Linked DNA regions of Rhinolophus ferrumequinum. The protein of the gene in region 1 purifies or fractionates together with the protein of each later gene. This does not show direct contact. Links are inferred from orthologs where the notes say so. Each region holds a gene or a part of one and is shown in the gene's direction. Other genes may lie near its edges.

Region 1 (7,673 bases):
TTTTCTCTAATTTGAAGTTTTTCTCAAAATAAAATATGTAATTTAAAAAAAAAAAAAAGAGTAGTAAGGGGACTAGGAGCCTGGGGAAGGGCTGGGGCAGGGAGCGGCGGGCTGCAGCTTTAACAGGTTGTAAGGGTGGGCCTGGATGAGAAGGAGGCATTTGAGTCAAGAATTGAAGGAGGTGAGGAGGTGAACCAAGCAAACGTCCTGGTAAGAGCATTCCAGGAAAAGGGAATAGAGTGCTAGACTGGCGCAGGCTTGGCCTGGTCCCTGAGCAGCAGGAGGCCTGTAGCTGTGGGCGGGGAGGAAGGGAGGTGGAGTCAGGTCCCGGTGCAATTCAAAGGGGAGTGGGAACACCCAGGGCCCTGGGGGCCATTGCAAGGACTCTTGCTCGGAATGAGAAGGCAGCTGCTGCAGGGGTTTGAGTAGAGGAGTGACTTGATCTCACTAGGTTTTAAAAGAATTCCTTTGGTTGCTGTGTTGAAAACAGACTACACCAGACAACTGGCCTGGGTGCTTCAAAAATGTCAATGTCATCAAAGACCAAAAAAGGACGGGGAACTGCGCTAGATTAAAGGAGGCTAAAGGGATATGGCAACTGAATGCTGTGTGATCCTCTACCTGCTACTGAAGTTTTTTTAAGGCTGTAAGGGATGTTTTCAGGATAATTGAAGAAAATTTAATATGGACTCTGTTAGGTATTATTGTATCAACATTCAATTCCTTAGGTATGACAATGAATTAGACTATAATGTATTATAGTTACATATAAGAATGTCTTTATCCTTAGAAGACATAGCTGGAATATTTAGAGGTGAAGTGTCATGATGTCTGTGAGGACGGAAGAGGGGCTACAGGTTAAACCTGACAAGCTCAGGAGACTGAAAATAACCACATAAAATGGCGTGAGCATAAAAAATTTCATAACTAAGTGGGCCATGGTAGGAAGTCATATCTTTAGCCAAAAGCTTCCTTCATAAAGTTAATCTGTGCCATTACGAGGGCCTGTCTATTGTCTTTTTGCACCTAAAATGACGTCCTTGGAATGTTTGTAATCCCTTTTTCTGGACCAGAGCAGGAAAGTACAGAATCCCTCATTATTATTCTTGTCCCTTGATTAACATCTCTATGTGAACTATTAACTGTCCTGTACCCACCTATGTGAAAGAAGTACCTGTCTCTCCAATTGGCTTTTATCCAGTCCCAGAGATTCCGCCCCCTTTGCTTTCTCCCACCCCCTTAATCTATCACCAGTGGATTCCATGTAACCTTCCTCCTTTGGTTCTATGTATAAAGTAAGCTACAAACTGCCATTTCGCGGAGCATTTCTCAAACTGTTGAGATTTTGCTTTCCGGCAATTGTTGTCAGTTTGGCTCAAATAAATTCTTACATGTTTTCTCTTAGGCTGGATGTTTTTTGTCGACATCTGCAACTTATCTTTTTAATTAAAGTATAGTTGGCATGCAATATTATTTTAGTTTCAGGTGTACAACAGTAATTCTACATTGCAACTTATTTTGAAATGGCTCAGAAAAAAACACACACAGAGAAAAAGCAAATGTGCAAAATGTGATCAAATGGTGAATCTAGGTGAAAGGTATACAGGTACTCATTGTCTGTTCTTTTAACTTTTTAATGTATTTAACATTCTTCAAAATAACAGACTTTAGGAAGTACATTAGTCAGGGTTCTCCAGAGGAACAGAACCAATAGAAGACAGATATAGATAGATATACAGGTATAGATATATAGATATAGATGTAGATATAGATAAAGATATAGACATAGATATATAGATATACTGGGGGTACCAAAAAAAAGTATACAAGTGGACACTTTGGTCAACGTTGCTCAAGCAATAGTTCGCCATAATCAGAAGTGTCTGGACGCTGATCGTAACCACTTAGAGTACCTCTTGTAATTGCAGAAGTCAAACATGACTTGTATTCATCTTTTGTTATCAGTATATATTGATTATTATAATGTTAGTAGTTTTCCTTTCTTAAAATGTGCATATATATATTTTTGGCACCCTCTGTAGATATAGATACATAGATATACAGATATGTAGATATAGATATGTGAAAAAACTTACTATAAGGAATTGGCAGGTGGCAGGTCCAAAGATTTGCAGTGTGAATCAACCAGCTGGAAACCCAGGAATAGTGATGGTTTAGTTCCAGTTTGAGTCAGAAAGCCTGATGTCCAGGAGGATGTAGTTCCAGTCTGAAAGTTGGCAGGCTCAAGAACTAAGAAGAGCTGATGTTTCAGTTTGACGCCGAAGACAGGAAAAGACCAAGATCCCAGCTCGAGGCAGTCAGGCAGGAGGAATTCCCTCTTACTTGGGGGAGGGTCAGCCCTTTTCTTCTATTCATCCCTTCAACTGATTGGACGAGGCCCACCCACATTAGAGAGGGCAATCTGCTTTACTCAATGTACCAATTTAAATGTTAATCTCATCTAAAAACACCCAGAATAATGATTGACCAATTATCTGGGCACCCCATGGCCCAGTCAAATTGACATATAAAATTAACTATCACAGGAATGTTAGGGCAGAAGCAGGCCAACTAACGAAGAGGCCCCTGCAATAATCTGGGTGAGACATGATGCTTGTTTGAATCGGAGTGATAGGCCATGGAGGTAATGAGAAGTGTCAATTGCAATAGGAGATAGAGAATTCAGTATAGAACTGAACTCAATTCCCAATACAGCAAAGACAGTTGGGGATTTATAGCCAACAAGCACAGTGAGGGTTCAGTGGATAGAAAATTACTAAGCGGAGATATCACAGTAGGAGGATTCTTGCTAAGTTTGCCTAACAGGATTTTTGTTAAAGGCAGGCCAAGGATTTATATATCAAAGGTGAGAGATGAGGAACTTGATCAGGGGGTCTTGATAACCTGACTTAGCAGGATTCTTGCTAAAACTGGGTGAGGCAGGCTGAGGACAGGACCCAAGGACAGGGCCCAAGGTCAAGACTAGTGGAAAAGAGGGCTCAGAGGAGCCTGTCTAAAGTTTGGCCTGCCACCACCTATCACAGGCCCAGACTGGAGGCTTTCTAAACATATTCCTATCTGCTGGGATCTCCAAATGTAGGCCCCAGAGCAGGATGCACCTGCCTCAGGTGTGCTGAGACCAGCACAGACAGGACAGCTCCCTCCCCAACTGGGCTTCTTGATTCCTGTCAGGCAACTCTGAAAAGTGTGAATTTGGAGTTGGCAGCGCCAGTGCTGACACTGACTCACTGAACAACCTTGGGCAAGTCACTTAACCTCTCTGATCCTCCACGTCCTCATCTAATAACATTGACAATGATAATTCAGTCTGTCCACAGGCCAGGGCGGTTGAGAGGATGGAATACATACTATTATCTGTGAGGGTGCTTTGTCAGCCTAAGCAAGCAGCTGCAAATGAAATGCCTTCAACTGCATTCCAAGAAAAACAGTGGATAGATTTTCACCACGTTTAGGGTCTATCGATGTTGGTTTGACTTAAAATATGTTACATGGCTTACAAGAAGTTCATTTTAGGAGTGCCCTGGGCCTCACCTCAGAGGGTTAAGTAGAGATCCTCTAGAAACAGGGGACACAAGTGCAGCAAATGAGTCTCATAAGATCCAAAGAGATCTCTGCTACTCAGTGAGATGAAAAGAAATGATTACAGATGTGGGGGTAAAGTTGATACATTCATTCTTTTTTTAACCTCAATTACTTTTTATTTATTTTATTGGGGAAGGGGAACAGGACTTTATTGGGGAACAGTGTGTACTTCCAGGCCTGTTTTCCAAGTCAAGTTGTTGTCCTTTCAATCTTAGTTGTGGAGGGTGCAGCTCAGCTCCAGGTACAGCTGCCATTGCTAGTTGCAGGGGGCACAGCCCACCATCCCTTAAGGGAGTCGAGGAATCGAACTGGCAACCTTGTGGTTGAGAGCCCGTGCTCTAACCACCTGAGCCATCCGGGAGGCAGCTCAGCTCAAGGTGCCGTGTTCAATCTTAGTTGCTTGAGGAATTGAACTGGCGACCTTGTGGTTGAGAGCCCACTGGCCTATGTGGGAATCGAACCGGCAGCCTTCGGAGTTAGGAGCATGGAGCTCTAACCGCCTGAGCCACCGGGCCGGCCCCATAATGTTTTTAATTGTAGAGGCTGATTGCCAATTGAGCTCTCTTCCCACAGGGAAGTTCTGTGGCACCTGCTCGGAAGTTAGTGGCAGCAGTGATCTCTCTCTTTAAAACTAACTAGTTAATGATGCTCTCAGGTAACCCGGTTGTATTTTAATAAGGTGACCAGGTTGTATTTTAATAAATAATAATTATAAAAATGCAGTCTAAGGTGTCATGCCCCCCCCCTTTTTTTTTTGCCTTTTGCACACGGCTGGCATATGTTGTTTATGGTTTGGGAGGCAGAGCGAATCCCCTAATTACTAACTGGGCCAGACTCTGAGATTGAATCACCCGTTCAAAAGCACCCTTTCAGTTACGAGCACGACGAGGACTACATTTCCCAAGGGCCCTTGCGACTCCGGTCCCTTCCCCGTCCCTTCCGGTTATATATCCAGGTCCCGCCCACTGCTGGCGCCGGCCAATAACACACCCACTCCTAGCGCCGGGCGAAAACAGGACGAGGGCGGGAACCTTTCAGTAGCCGCGGGGGCGGGTCCTGTGGCCCGCGCTTCATCTTTTGAATCGGAGAAGCAGATTCGCTATGGCAACGCGCCGCTAAATTGGTCAAGAGTCAGGACCTGAAGAAAGAGGTCTGCCACTAGTCAACAGGTGGTGTTAAGAAAGACAATATTAATTTCCCGCCACTCCTCCCAGTCCGATCTTCGGCCTTTTCCTCCAGGAAATGAATCTGCTGCCGAAAGTTGAGAGTAGCGTGACTCGGCAGGAGAAGATGGCGACCGTGTGGGATGAGGCTGAGGTGGGCGCTGGGAGAGCTGGGGGTCCTGGAGTCGTGGCCAGTGGGGAGACGCATTTGGCAGGAAGGGAGGAGGTGCCTGGGGACCAAGATCTGGCCCGATCCCAGAGTAGGGCCCCTTGGGATGTGGGCAAGGGTCCCGATTGCTTCATTCTAGTTTTATGGGCGGGGAAACTGAGGCTGTAAGTGAGCTTGGAGAAAGCGGGATACCTGCCCTGAGTTTTAAAAAGTTTTTTTTTTCTTAACAGCAAGATGGAATCGGGGAGGAGGTGCTCAAGATGTCCACAGAAGAGATTATCCAGCGCACACGGCTGCTGGACAGTGAAATCAAGGTGGGCGTACAAGGCAGGCCTTGCTTATCCCAGACGCGGTTTCCTCCTTGAACCAGGAAATTGAAAAGAAAACTAAGCCTTAAGAGAGATCAGAAGAGGGACAGGCTATTGGGAGACCAGGCCTATGTGAGCAGGAATCATCAGACTGCCTTTCTCAACTAGGTCTTACAAGTATTCCTCTCGGAAATCTTTTTAGGAAATCCTCATTTTATAGATGAGGAAACTGAGGCTCAGAGAGGTTTTTATTGTGAAGTACCCAGTCCTTAATGAAAGGCAGAGCCTAAAACCTGTACTTGTTTGACTCAAAGTCCTGCTTTTTTCCCTCTACTACAATTACTTCATCAGGAGGTCTCCAGACTGGCCTCCTGTTTTGACCTCTGCGGACGTGGGTGTAGTCAGGCTCAGCATTCACAAAGCCTAAGAGCTGAGTGAGCAGATGCGGGAGGGTCCCCTGGGCAGCCTGGACCTCACCAATTACAAGGCCCTGGGATAAACAAAGCCAAAGCTGAACATTGGCTTCCACTCACCTTCATCTCAGATTATGAAGAGCGAAGTGTTACGAGTAACCCACGAGCTTCAAGCTATGAAGGACAAGATCAAAGAGAACAGTGAGAAAATCAAAGTGAACAAGACCCTGCCATACCTTGTCTCCAACGTCATCGAGGTGTGTGTGTATGTGGAGGGGAAGAGAGGGGTCAGTGGGGCTTGGAGATAGCCGGCGATGGGGCCATTGGGGGAAGAGTGGTCGAAGTTTTGAGGCCCAAATTGCATGTTGGGCCACCCCTTCTAGGGCCCAGAAAGGCCTCAGAAACCTCACTCGTCTTCTTTTCTACTGGTTATTCTTCCTCGGGGCAGAGAAGCAACACCTAACCAGAGATGTTCTCAGTCCCCTGGTTGATCAGCTGCACTTGCTGGGCTCAGGGCTAGTCTGAGGAGTGAGGTAGGGATGGCCAGCCCTGCAGGTGTTGGGACTCTCTCAGCCCAGGAAGCACCTGGCTCTGGGGAGTTCAGTGGGCTGAGCAGGGCCTGTTGATCTGAGCTTTATCCCTTTCCAGCTTTTGGATGTTGATCCTAATGACCAAGAGGAGGATGGTGCCAATATTGACTTGGACTCACAGAGGAAGGGCAAATGTGCAGTGATCAAAACCTCTACACGGCAGGTGAGGCTGACTCAACAATAGGAGAACTGAGGAGGGTGAGGCATGGGTGGGGAAAGGACTGGGGAACCTTACTGAGGGCAGTAACTGAGACTGCTTCTGGAATCTTTCCTACAGACATACTTCCTGCCTGTGATTGGGTTGGTGGATGCTGAAAAGTTGAAGCCGGGAGATTTGGTGGTGAGTGGTGTCCCCGAGCCGAAGCAGAGCTTTTCTAATGAGGTTTCTCCCACTGAACCCCTCACCCAGGCCCAGGTTACTATTGGTCCTGAATCTTGGCAGAGCAGCCTGGAGAGTGAGATCCTGTCTATCTGCTCTTTGAATCTTGTGTTGCCCAGTCCCATATCATTCTTTTCACTCTATAAACACCTGTTACCCAGCCTATTAATTAGGCCTTGAGCTAGGACAAATCTGAAGGCTTTGTGTTTTGCCCCCAGGGTGTGAACAAAGACTCCTATTTGATCCTGGAGACCCTGCCTACAGAGTACGACTCACGGGTGAAGGCCATGGAGGTGGACGAGAGACCCACAGAACAATACAGTGACATTGGGGGCCTGGACAAGCAGATTCAGGAGGTGAGGGAGGCGTGGCAGCCACCACCAGTCTCGCCAGCTTTTTGTGTTTTTCTGTTTCATTGATCAGAGCACTTCCCTCTAATATGCCTCTTATCCTCATAGTCCCCCTAGGGAGGCAAGAAGGATGCTGTGAAACAGTTTAGGAGACTAAGATCAGAGAGACTGAAGGACGTGCCTGGGGTCGTAGAAGGTTAGGGCCAGAGCCAGGACTGGAACTCAATGTTCAGTGTCTTTCCACCATATCCTGTTGTTGCTGGAAAGACCTTAGTCGGCCTTGGTGGGAGTGAACATTCTGCATTCTCTTGATATGGGGGAAGGAGAGGCAGTATCCCTGAGCAGGAACAGGAGGGTTGCAGATTGGGGTTGAAGCCATTAAATGTTGGGCTGTAGGAGCCCTTAGGGCTTCACTCTCCTCACCCAGGACTTCTTCCTGGCAGCTGGTGGAGGCCATTGTTCTGCCAATGAACCACAAGGAGAAGTTTGAGAACCTGGGGATCCAACCTCCAAAGGGAGTACTGATGTATGGGCCCCCAGGTACGGGGAAGACCCTGCTGGCCCGGGCCTGCGCTGCACAGACCAAGGTGAGTGCTTTGGGAAAGATGAGGGGGAAGTGGGCAGGAGCTGAGCAGTACGGGCTCCAAGGGACCTCTCGTGCTCTGGCCTGACTCTCAGTCCCCATCCTCCCCCCACCC
Region 2 (7,897 bases), about 35 Mb from region 1:
TAATTGGCCCCAAATCACCCAGCTAGTAAGTGGCATAGTGGGATTTGAAAGCACCTAACAGGGATTGAGAGCAGACTTTGGAACCAGACAACGTGGGTTAAATGCTCCATAAGTTAGGTAAAGCCTCAATAAATGCTAACAATATTTATTATATATTATCTCATTTAATTCTTTCAATGTACCTATCAAGTAGGAATTATCCCCATGTATTTGAGGAAAGAGGCTTGGGTGGCAACAGAGCACCCTTTGCCCAAATACACTGTTACCCACCCAGTGTTAGCTCCCTGTTAGGGCCGGAGCCCTCCAAAACTTGCTCCCTCCACTTTGCTGGTTTGGAAGCCATTCCTCCTGCTAAGGAGGTCCTTCTACCCATCTTCTCTGCTAGACTCTCCCCACCTCATGGCCTATTATTTCTATCTTAATTATACAAGTTAATATATAGATACGTTCCTGTTGTAAAAGATTTAAAAATGTAAGCAAATATAGTCCTTATTGATGGAATGACGGTCACACTGTGACCATTTATTCACTCTTATACACAATGAACATCATGGTACATTTTATAAAAATATATTTAAGAGGATTCCTAATAAATGCTGTTTAAATATTTAAAATATTTATAGCTCCCACCATATTGCCCTCCAAAAGCTTTACTAAATTATGATCCCTTCAATAGCGTGAATGTGTGTTTCTCTCCATCCCCACCAATACTGGTCATTATAAATACTTCTGATTTTTGTCAAGAGGATCAGCTAATAATACTGTTTTTAAATTTTGCATTTTTCTTATCAGTGATGTGAAATATATTTACATTTTCCTGTTTTGGGGGCATATTTAACTTTGTTCACTTTTCAATTGGGTAGTTTGCTTTTTCTTTCTGATTTCTAGGTACTTTTTGTTCCAGCTGGTAATCCTTCCCGTTATGATAGAAATGGGTATTATCTTTAAAGGTTCAACTCAACTAAATCCCTTCTCTTCTCTGAGATTCTTGCTGAAAGCTCTAATCCACACTACTCCCTCTGATGACCTACAGCACTGAACAGATTCATCTTTATATACCATGTTTCCCAGAAAATAAGACTGGGTCTTATATTCCTTTTTGCTCTAAAAGACACATTAGGGCGTATTTTCAGGGGTTGTCTTATTTTTTTCATGTACAACAATCTACATTTATTCAAATAGCCATGTCATCATCTTCTGGAACATCGTCATAACATACTAAATGCGCCCGTCTGGCTGACCATCTTAACTGGGGCTTATTTTCAGGGTAGGTCTTATTTTCGAGGAAACACAGTATACACCCAGTCATTCCCTTCCACTTGAAAGCTGAAATTGGATTCTATTTTTCTTTCAACTGGTATTCCTCCTATCTTCTCCCCTCTTTTCTCTTTTCTCCCCAAATACCAACACAAAAGTAGTATTAGGGCCTATTATACTTCACATTTGTGCTTCTCACACACACACACACACGAAATATTACTGATGATGAATGTCCCTTTGGATCCCAGTTTCTATGACAGGGGTCATTCCCCCAACTCCCTCGCCACTCCCAATCCTTACAGGGCTAGGCAGAAAGTAATATAATGGGTAATGTGGTTTCATGGAAACAAAATGAGAAATGGTGGCAACTACTGTTAACCAGAGAACACAACCACCTAAAAGAGAAACCTTATTCAGCTCTAGCAAATTGTTGTCAAGTAGGAATTGAAGCTCCATGATGACAACTTCTCTATTTTAAAAGTGGAAAAATCTGTATTTTATGTTAAATGTACTTTTTAAATGTCAAACCAACATTGTGTGTGTGTTGGGTTGGGAGTGTGTAAAGGTCAGACTCTGCATCTATTAATTCGACAGACTCTGGCATAGAAGAGGCAGTTTGTTTATTTTCCCATTTGCTTTCTTCCTTCCATTAGACTGAATGAAACATCCAGGACAACTTGTGAAAGATAAAGTCATTTATATCACTGGGCAGGAATTAGTTCCAATGTTGTTTTATTTCTGTCTCTCAAACTAGACTAAGCAACATGAAGGCAAAGATCACATTATTCATCACATCAGCTTCTAACAGTGCCTAGAACATGAGAAGTTCTCAGAAAAACTTGTTGTTGAACCAAAGACTGAAGAAATGAAGACCTGAATAGATAGCCAATTTACCTTTAGATTGTAAATATACTTGCAAAATTCAATGTCCACGTATCAGCTCAGTACTTGGCACACCGATCCAAGATGGAGGTTAGCAGAGCAACCCTTAACCCCACTGTGTTTTACATGGTGAATATTGGTCAGTATTTCATATTTGTGCAACAAGACGGGTAAGGATGTATAGGATCTCGCCATGAAAATCCGACAGCTCTTGATGGCAGTCCTGTGCAAACCCATGGCTACCTGGCTCTCAACCTCAGTCCCAAAGACCATCCCCAAGTTTTATACCTCTTGGCCCACACTTCCAGTTTAGGATTTCTTCCTCCCATGACCTCGCTGGGTGCTAGTTTCTTCAGGCCATGCTCTGGGGACAGACGGTTTGGGGTGTCAGCTGTGGGCACTGCCTTGCTCCTTCCTCCTCTGCAGCTCCTCCCGCCGTCTCGCCTGCTGTTCACTCATGCAGTCCCTGAAGGCCTGCACCTGTGGCTGGCACTGTCGCCAGTCCTGGTGCGCGGCCATGCACTCCTGCACTGCATAGTGGGACGCTGCACAGCCAGAACGGGAGATGAGCTGGTCCAGGGGGTCCTCTTCCTCACCCTCCTTCTTCACCTGTCGGGCCCAGGTATGGCCTTGAGTTGACATCTTTGGGAGTCTCTAGACATCAATGGAGGCAAGGTTAGAGTAGGGACATGATTATATATGAGGTTCCTCTTATAAGTAACACTGAACACTGCACGGTTATGGCCTATGTATACAAATGTCTCCCTTTGGAGACTGTAAGCTATTTGCAGACAGATAATCGGCCTGATTCAACTTGATGCCCCCAGCACTAGTCCTGGCAGAGAATAGGCCTGCAAAATGATCTGAACGGAATGGAATGAAGCAAAGCATGTGAGAATGCTTAGCACAGCACTAAATAAGCTCGAATGGATTCCTCTAATAGAATTTGAATTGGGTAAAATATCACCTTTCTGGAGAAGCTATTTCTGATTCACCCTCAAAAGAACTAATCTCCCTTCTTCTATTGGCCTTATTCTATGGCTTGAGAAGAACAAAATTTAACACTTGGGAGAGTACCCAAATATGGTAGGGTTTGACATGTGGAATGGAGAGAGTTGTGTGGCTACAGAATACAGCATGCAGCGGCCCCGGCAAGAGACGAGTCTGTGAGGTAAGTAAGAGTACTTCATGTGAAGTGTGTTTGCCCAGACTGTCTTCCCAAGACCATCTACTTCAGAATACCCAGCAGAAGGTAGCATAAAGAAGGAACTTAAGAAAGAGATGAAGAGAAATGGCCTCAGCCTTTGTATAAATTTCACGATGACTGGCTGTAAAGGAGCTAGGATTCCTTAATGCCTTTCCTGTGTCTCTGATTCATTCAGCAAATCATCACTGAGTACTCATCATGTACCAGGCACTATGCTGGAGTTGAGTATACAGGAGTGACCAGGACAGAAACCGTTCCTGCCTTCATAGTTTACAATCTAGGCAAGTAAACAGCCAGTTTACTATACACTGTATACAGAGAGCTCATGCTGGGAACACAGTGGAGGAGTGATACCTAATCCAGACAAGAGAAACAGGCAGGGAAGGCTTCCTGGAGGAAGTGATTTATAAACTGACAGCTGAAGGATGAATAGGAGTTAACTAGAGATGGAAAGGAAGAACAGGGTGGTCAATGAAAGAACAGGGTGGGGGGTTGAAACAATTTGAGAGGACTGGAAAGTTCTGTATGACTGGAAGCATAGAATATGAGGAGAAAACAAAAGAAACGAGAAAGTATCTGATCATAACCAGACGTTGTTAGCCATGTTAACGCACTTAGAGCGCCAAGGGGAAGTCACAAGGATTTAAACACGCTAAAGCCCTACATAAAACTCATTTGCTTTGGAGGCAGTATAACTTGAGGAGGGGGGAAACGGGCTTTGAAAACAGACGGGTTGGAAATCTAGCTTTGTCACTGACATTTTGAGTGACCCTGAGTAAATTACGTCATAATAGTCCTATTACTATACGTTTCCTCTTCCTAAATACACAGTGAGCTCTTTAAAGGCAGGTGGCAAACCTCTTAGAGCAAGCACAGAAAAGTGGCTTGGATCTTAAGCCAAGAAATCCGGGTTCGAATACCAGCACACGCTTTATCTTGCAATCTTTTTTAGTTTGCTCCTTAAGATAATATTTAACTCGCAGAATTACTGTATGAATTAACATAATGATGCCAAATGCATGGGCTACAACAGGACTCAGTAAACGCTGCCGTACGCTTTTCCCCACCACATCCCGGCTTCAGCCTCCCTTGGAGTAAAAAGACCCTTGCTCAGAGATAACGGCAGGTTAGATGGTCGGCACCTGGATCGGGAGCAGGCTTGGACCAGAAAGGCATCGAAAAAACCAGAAAGCAAAGATACCCAAGTGGCCAAATCATCTGAAGCTCCTCTCCCACCTTCAGGAGAGAGCGCATGCGCCCGCGCAGCCACCGGGCGCGCCCACGTAGTGCCCGTTACGTTTCAGAGTGCAAAGAAGCGGCACGCAGTGCTCACCGAACAGGCGGACGGACAAGAAGACCCGAATGTGCGTTCCAGCACGTCCACTTCGCAGGCAGTTGGAACTCTTCCGACCCTCCGGGAAGGAACCAACCTCTCAGGAGCGCGCGCGCGGAAGGGGGAGGGAAGGGAAGGGACCCACCGCGCATTTTCATTGGTGGTCTCTCTTTGTAGCTCCCGCCCCCCGCGCTACTTCCGGGAAAGAGCGGAAGAGGCGGGCTAGTGGAGGAGGGGTCAAGATGGCGGCGCCTTTGAGGATTCAAAGCGACTGGGCTCAAGCCCTCAGGTGAAACCAGTCCCAGAACCCGGACTGAGGAGGCGGGTAGCGGATGTTGCCTTTTCGTTAGGAGAGTCATGCCCGATCCAGGATATCCATAGGGGTTACCTCATCAATTATTGAGGGAGTATTGGGTCTAGAAAACGAAGTCTCAAACCCACATGGTTATTTTTCATTCTCTGAAGAGCTATCCTGAAGCTAGGGAAGCACATCAGAGCTGTGTGATCCCAGCATCAGAACTAGGATTAATGAGTTGTAGAAAGACAGGAAAACTGGGAGGCAGGAGGCCAAGTAGTCAGTCATTTAACAAATATTTATTGGTCGTATTTATTTGCAAAAGTTCCAGTACTCACCACCACCAGTAATTGTCTTTTACTGTGTGATGGAATCTTTGTATCCTTCTCGGTCCCTAATGGTATATTAGTCATATTGGACCATTCTACTAAACAATGTAGCACCTACCATGTCCAGACTCTGACCTAGATAGATGCTCCATGCAGTACAGTGTGTACTCTAAACTTAAGGGGTGGTTCCTGCTCTCAAGTTGACAGCTTCGTTGGGAATACACAGCAAACCATTCATTTATTTAACATATTTATTGATCATATAGTGTGCGTTCACCAGGATGAGTACAGTAGTGCCATGAATGACAATTTTTATTACTAATAAGGATTTTCAAATTGAAACAATGGTGAAGATGAATAAAACATTCCTGTATTTAAGAAACTTACACCTTACTATAAGTGGGCTAAAATAAAGTATACATTACTTACTATAACACAGAATGTGTGAAAAGTAATAAAGGAAAACCACTAACATTTATTGAGGGCTACTAGGTACCTATGGGAGAATGCAGGATCAGAATCTGAGGAAGTAACTTGCTCAAGATCATGCAGCTAATAAGTGATGGAGAGTTGCTGGCAACCTATGTCTTTCTATCTTAAAAGCCTAGTCCTTTTCTGCTATACTCTAAGAGTGTATAGGATGCTGAGATAACGATTTGGATGATTGGGGAAGTGCATTCTAAAACATGAAAAGTCTGAGGTGCTAGAACACAGACATTGTATACTAGTCCCAGCTTTCATTTTCTGCTTCATAGCTAGGCAAGTCATTTCTCTCTGAGCTTCAGTTTTTTTAACCTTTAACCTGAGGATTAATAAAAGATATCTTGTTAAATTGTTGTCAGGATTAATGATGCTATATGCAAAGTGTCTAGCACAGGGTCTGGCTTACAATAATCCCAATAAATATTTATAAACTATTCCCGATTTTTCAAAGCTGTGCAATTACAAATGAATAGTGACTCCCTATTGGTGAAATATTTGCACTTCATTGAACCAACAGATATATGTATTAAACGCTTAATCCACAAATATCTTCAACAACTAAAGTTTGTCTTAGAATAAGACAAACATGACTGGATGAGATATTGGACTTGATCATGTCTAAGTAGTATGGCCAAACTGGAAATTATATGATCTTCTTTCTCCCCTTGTACCAGTGGCATCCTTTTGTGTTGAGTGAGCCTAATTAGGTTTTTGTCTCTCTTCATAGGAAGGATGAAGGGGAGGCCTGGCTGAGCTGTCACCCCCCAGGTAATGTCCTTAAGTCTATATGCATTCCCTTTAGAGTAAAAGGATTTACTACCCCTAGAAGAGAGCTTCCTACTTTCTCCTGGCCCAAACTCCTGGCACAATGCTCATAGTCTTCAAATGTTTTTGACCAGTCTGTGATCAGACATCACCCCATCTCCTCCATTCTAGGGGAAGGTCTTCAGATTGGTTTTCCATTTGGAAGCTATAAACTTATTCATGGAGACGCTGCTGATACAGCTAAAACAGTCTCTTGGCTATATATTATTTTATTCTAAATAGTTGTATAGCTTCAAGTGTGACCTTCCTGATGATTCCTAGATCTATAGCTCTAGCCCTGGTCTCTCTTCAGTTTCAAGCAGAGATCGAACAGTTGTCTGCTAGCTGTTTCTGCTTGGAGCTCTCAGTGTCATCTTGAGTTTATCACATCCAGAACCAAGCTGAGCACTTCTGTTGTCAAACAGGCTTCTTTCTTAATTTTCTCATTTCTAAAGTTACCATCCTTCTAGACATCAGAGTATAAAATCGAATCACCCTACCATATCCAGAGTTTCCACGTCTTAACAATTTTCCCTTGAAATGAAACTCCTGTTATTCCCATTCATTTGTTTGCAGTTAGTGTGGTAACATTAAAAAAAATTCCAAGTTTGTGAGAATGTGTTGTTTTACTGATTATTTTGCATTTCAGATATCTTTGATGTCTTTATATAATATATTCTATTTCTATGAGAAATAGTTTGAAACAGTTTTCTTTTGAGGAAATTGGTGCCGCATGGAAGAGAGGATAGTAACTCGAAGGTTTATAGTCAAGGTTTTGTTTTATTGTTAAGATGGGAATTAATTGGAGAACAAGTAAAATATAGGTTGTAGGTAGAGGAGAGAAGGACTAACAAATACCCATGTCTTAGGGGAGAGAGAAGGAAATTGAATGAAGTCTAAAAGACTAAGATGAAAGAAGGTGAAGGTAAATGCAGATGTAAATAAATGCATAGGCATGGATGTGGAAATTTGTGAGTGTCCTATAGCCTCGGTTTTCTTTGTGATATTGGAGGTAGGGTCAGCTCTTAAGGCAGAGGGCTCTTTGTTTTATTCTTAAAATAGTTTTATTGAAATAAAATGTGTGCTATCTGTGTGCTAGATACTATACATATATTTGTATTTCTCAGAACCCTATGAGGTAGGTACTATTAGGATTCTCATTTAAAAAAAATAACAGCTTTATTGAGATATAATTCACATACCATTACATTTACCTTTTTAAAGTGTACGATTCAGGGGATTTAGTTTATTCACAGAGTTGTGTGTCTATCACCACTATCAATTCCAGAACATTTTCATCACCC

What was found. Proteins that work in one complex are often made in the same cells at the same time.
Region 2: the proteins of PSMC3 (region 1) and PAAF1 purify together in Homo sapiens (co-immunoprecipitation; 6 studies listed by BioGRID and IntAct, with this or other methods). This does not show direct contact. The link is inferred for Rhinolophus ferrumequinum from reciprocal best matches to the Homo sapiens genes PSMC3 and PAAF1.

Annotation. Positions count from the first base shown.
Region 1 is NC_046294.1:13,797,534-13,805,206, forward strand, and holds the start of PSMC3 (26S proteasome regulatory subunit 6A), read left to right. Parts: upstream 1-4,666; 5' UTR 4,667-4,845; coding exon 4,846-4,920; intron 4,921-5,165; coding exon 5,166-5,249; intron 5,250-5,787; coding exon 5,788-5,913; intron 5,914-6,304; coding exon 6,305-6,409; intron 6,410-6,523; coding exon 6,524-6,586; intron 6,587-6,843; coding exon 6,844-6,981; intron 6,982-7,418; coding exon 7,419-7,562; intron 7,563-7,673.
Region 2 is NC_046294.1:49,005,912-49,013,808, forward strand, and holds the start of PAAF1 (proteasomal ATPase-associated factor 1), read left to right. Parts: upstream 1-4,880; 5' UTR 4,881-4,924; coding exon 4,925-4,971; intron 4,972-6,516; coding exon 6,517-6,557; intron 6,558-7,897. Other genes in the region: cytochrome c oxidase assembly factor 4 homolog, mitochondrial, read right to left, coding at 2,530-2,784. UniProt on the Homo sapiens protein: Inhibits proteasome 26S assembly and proteolytic activity by impairing the association of the 19S regulatory complex with the 20S core.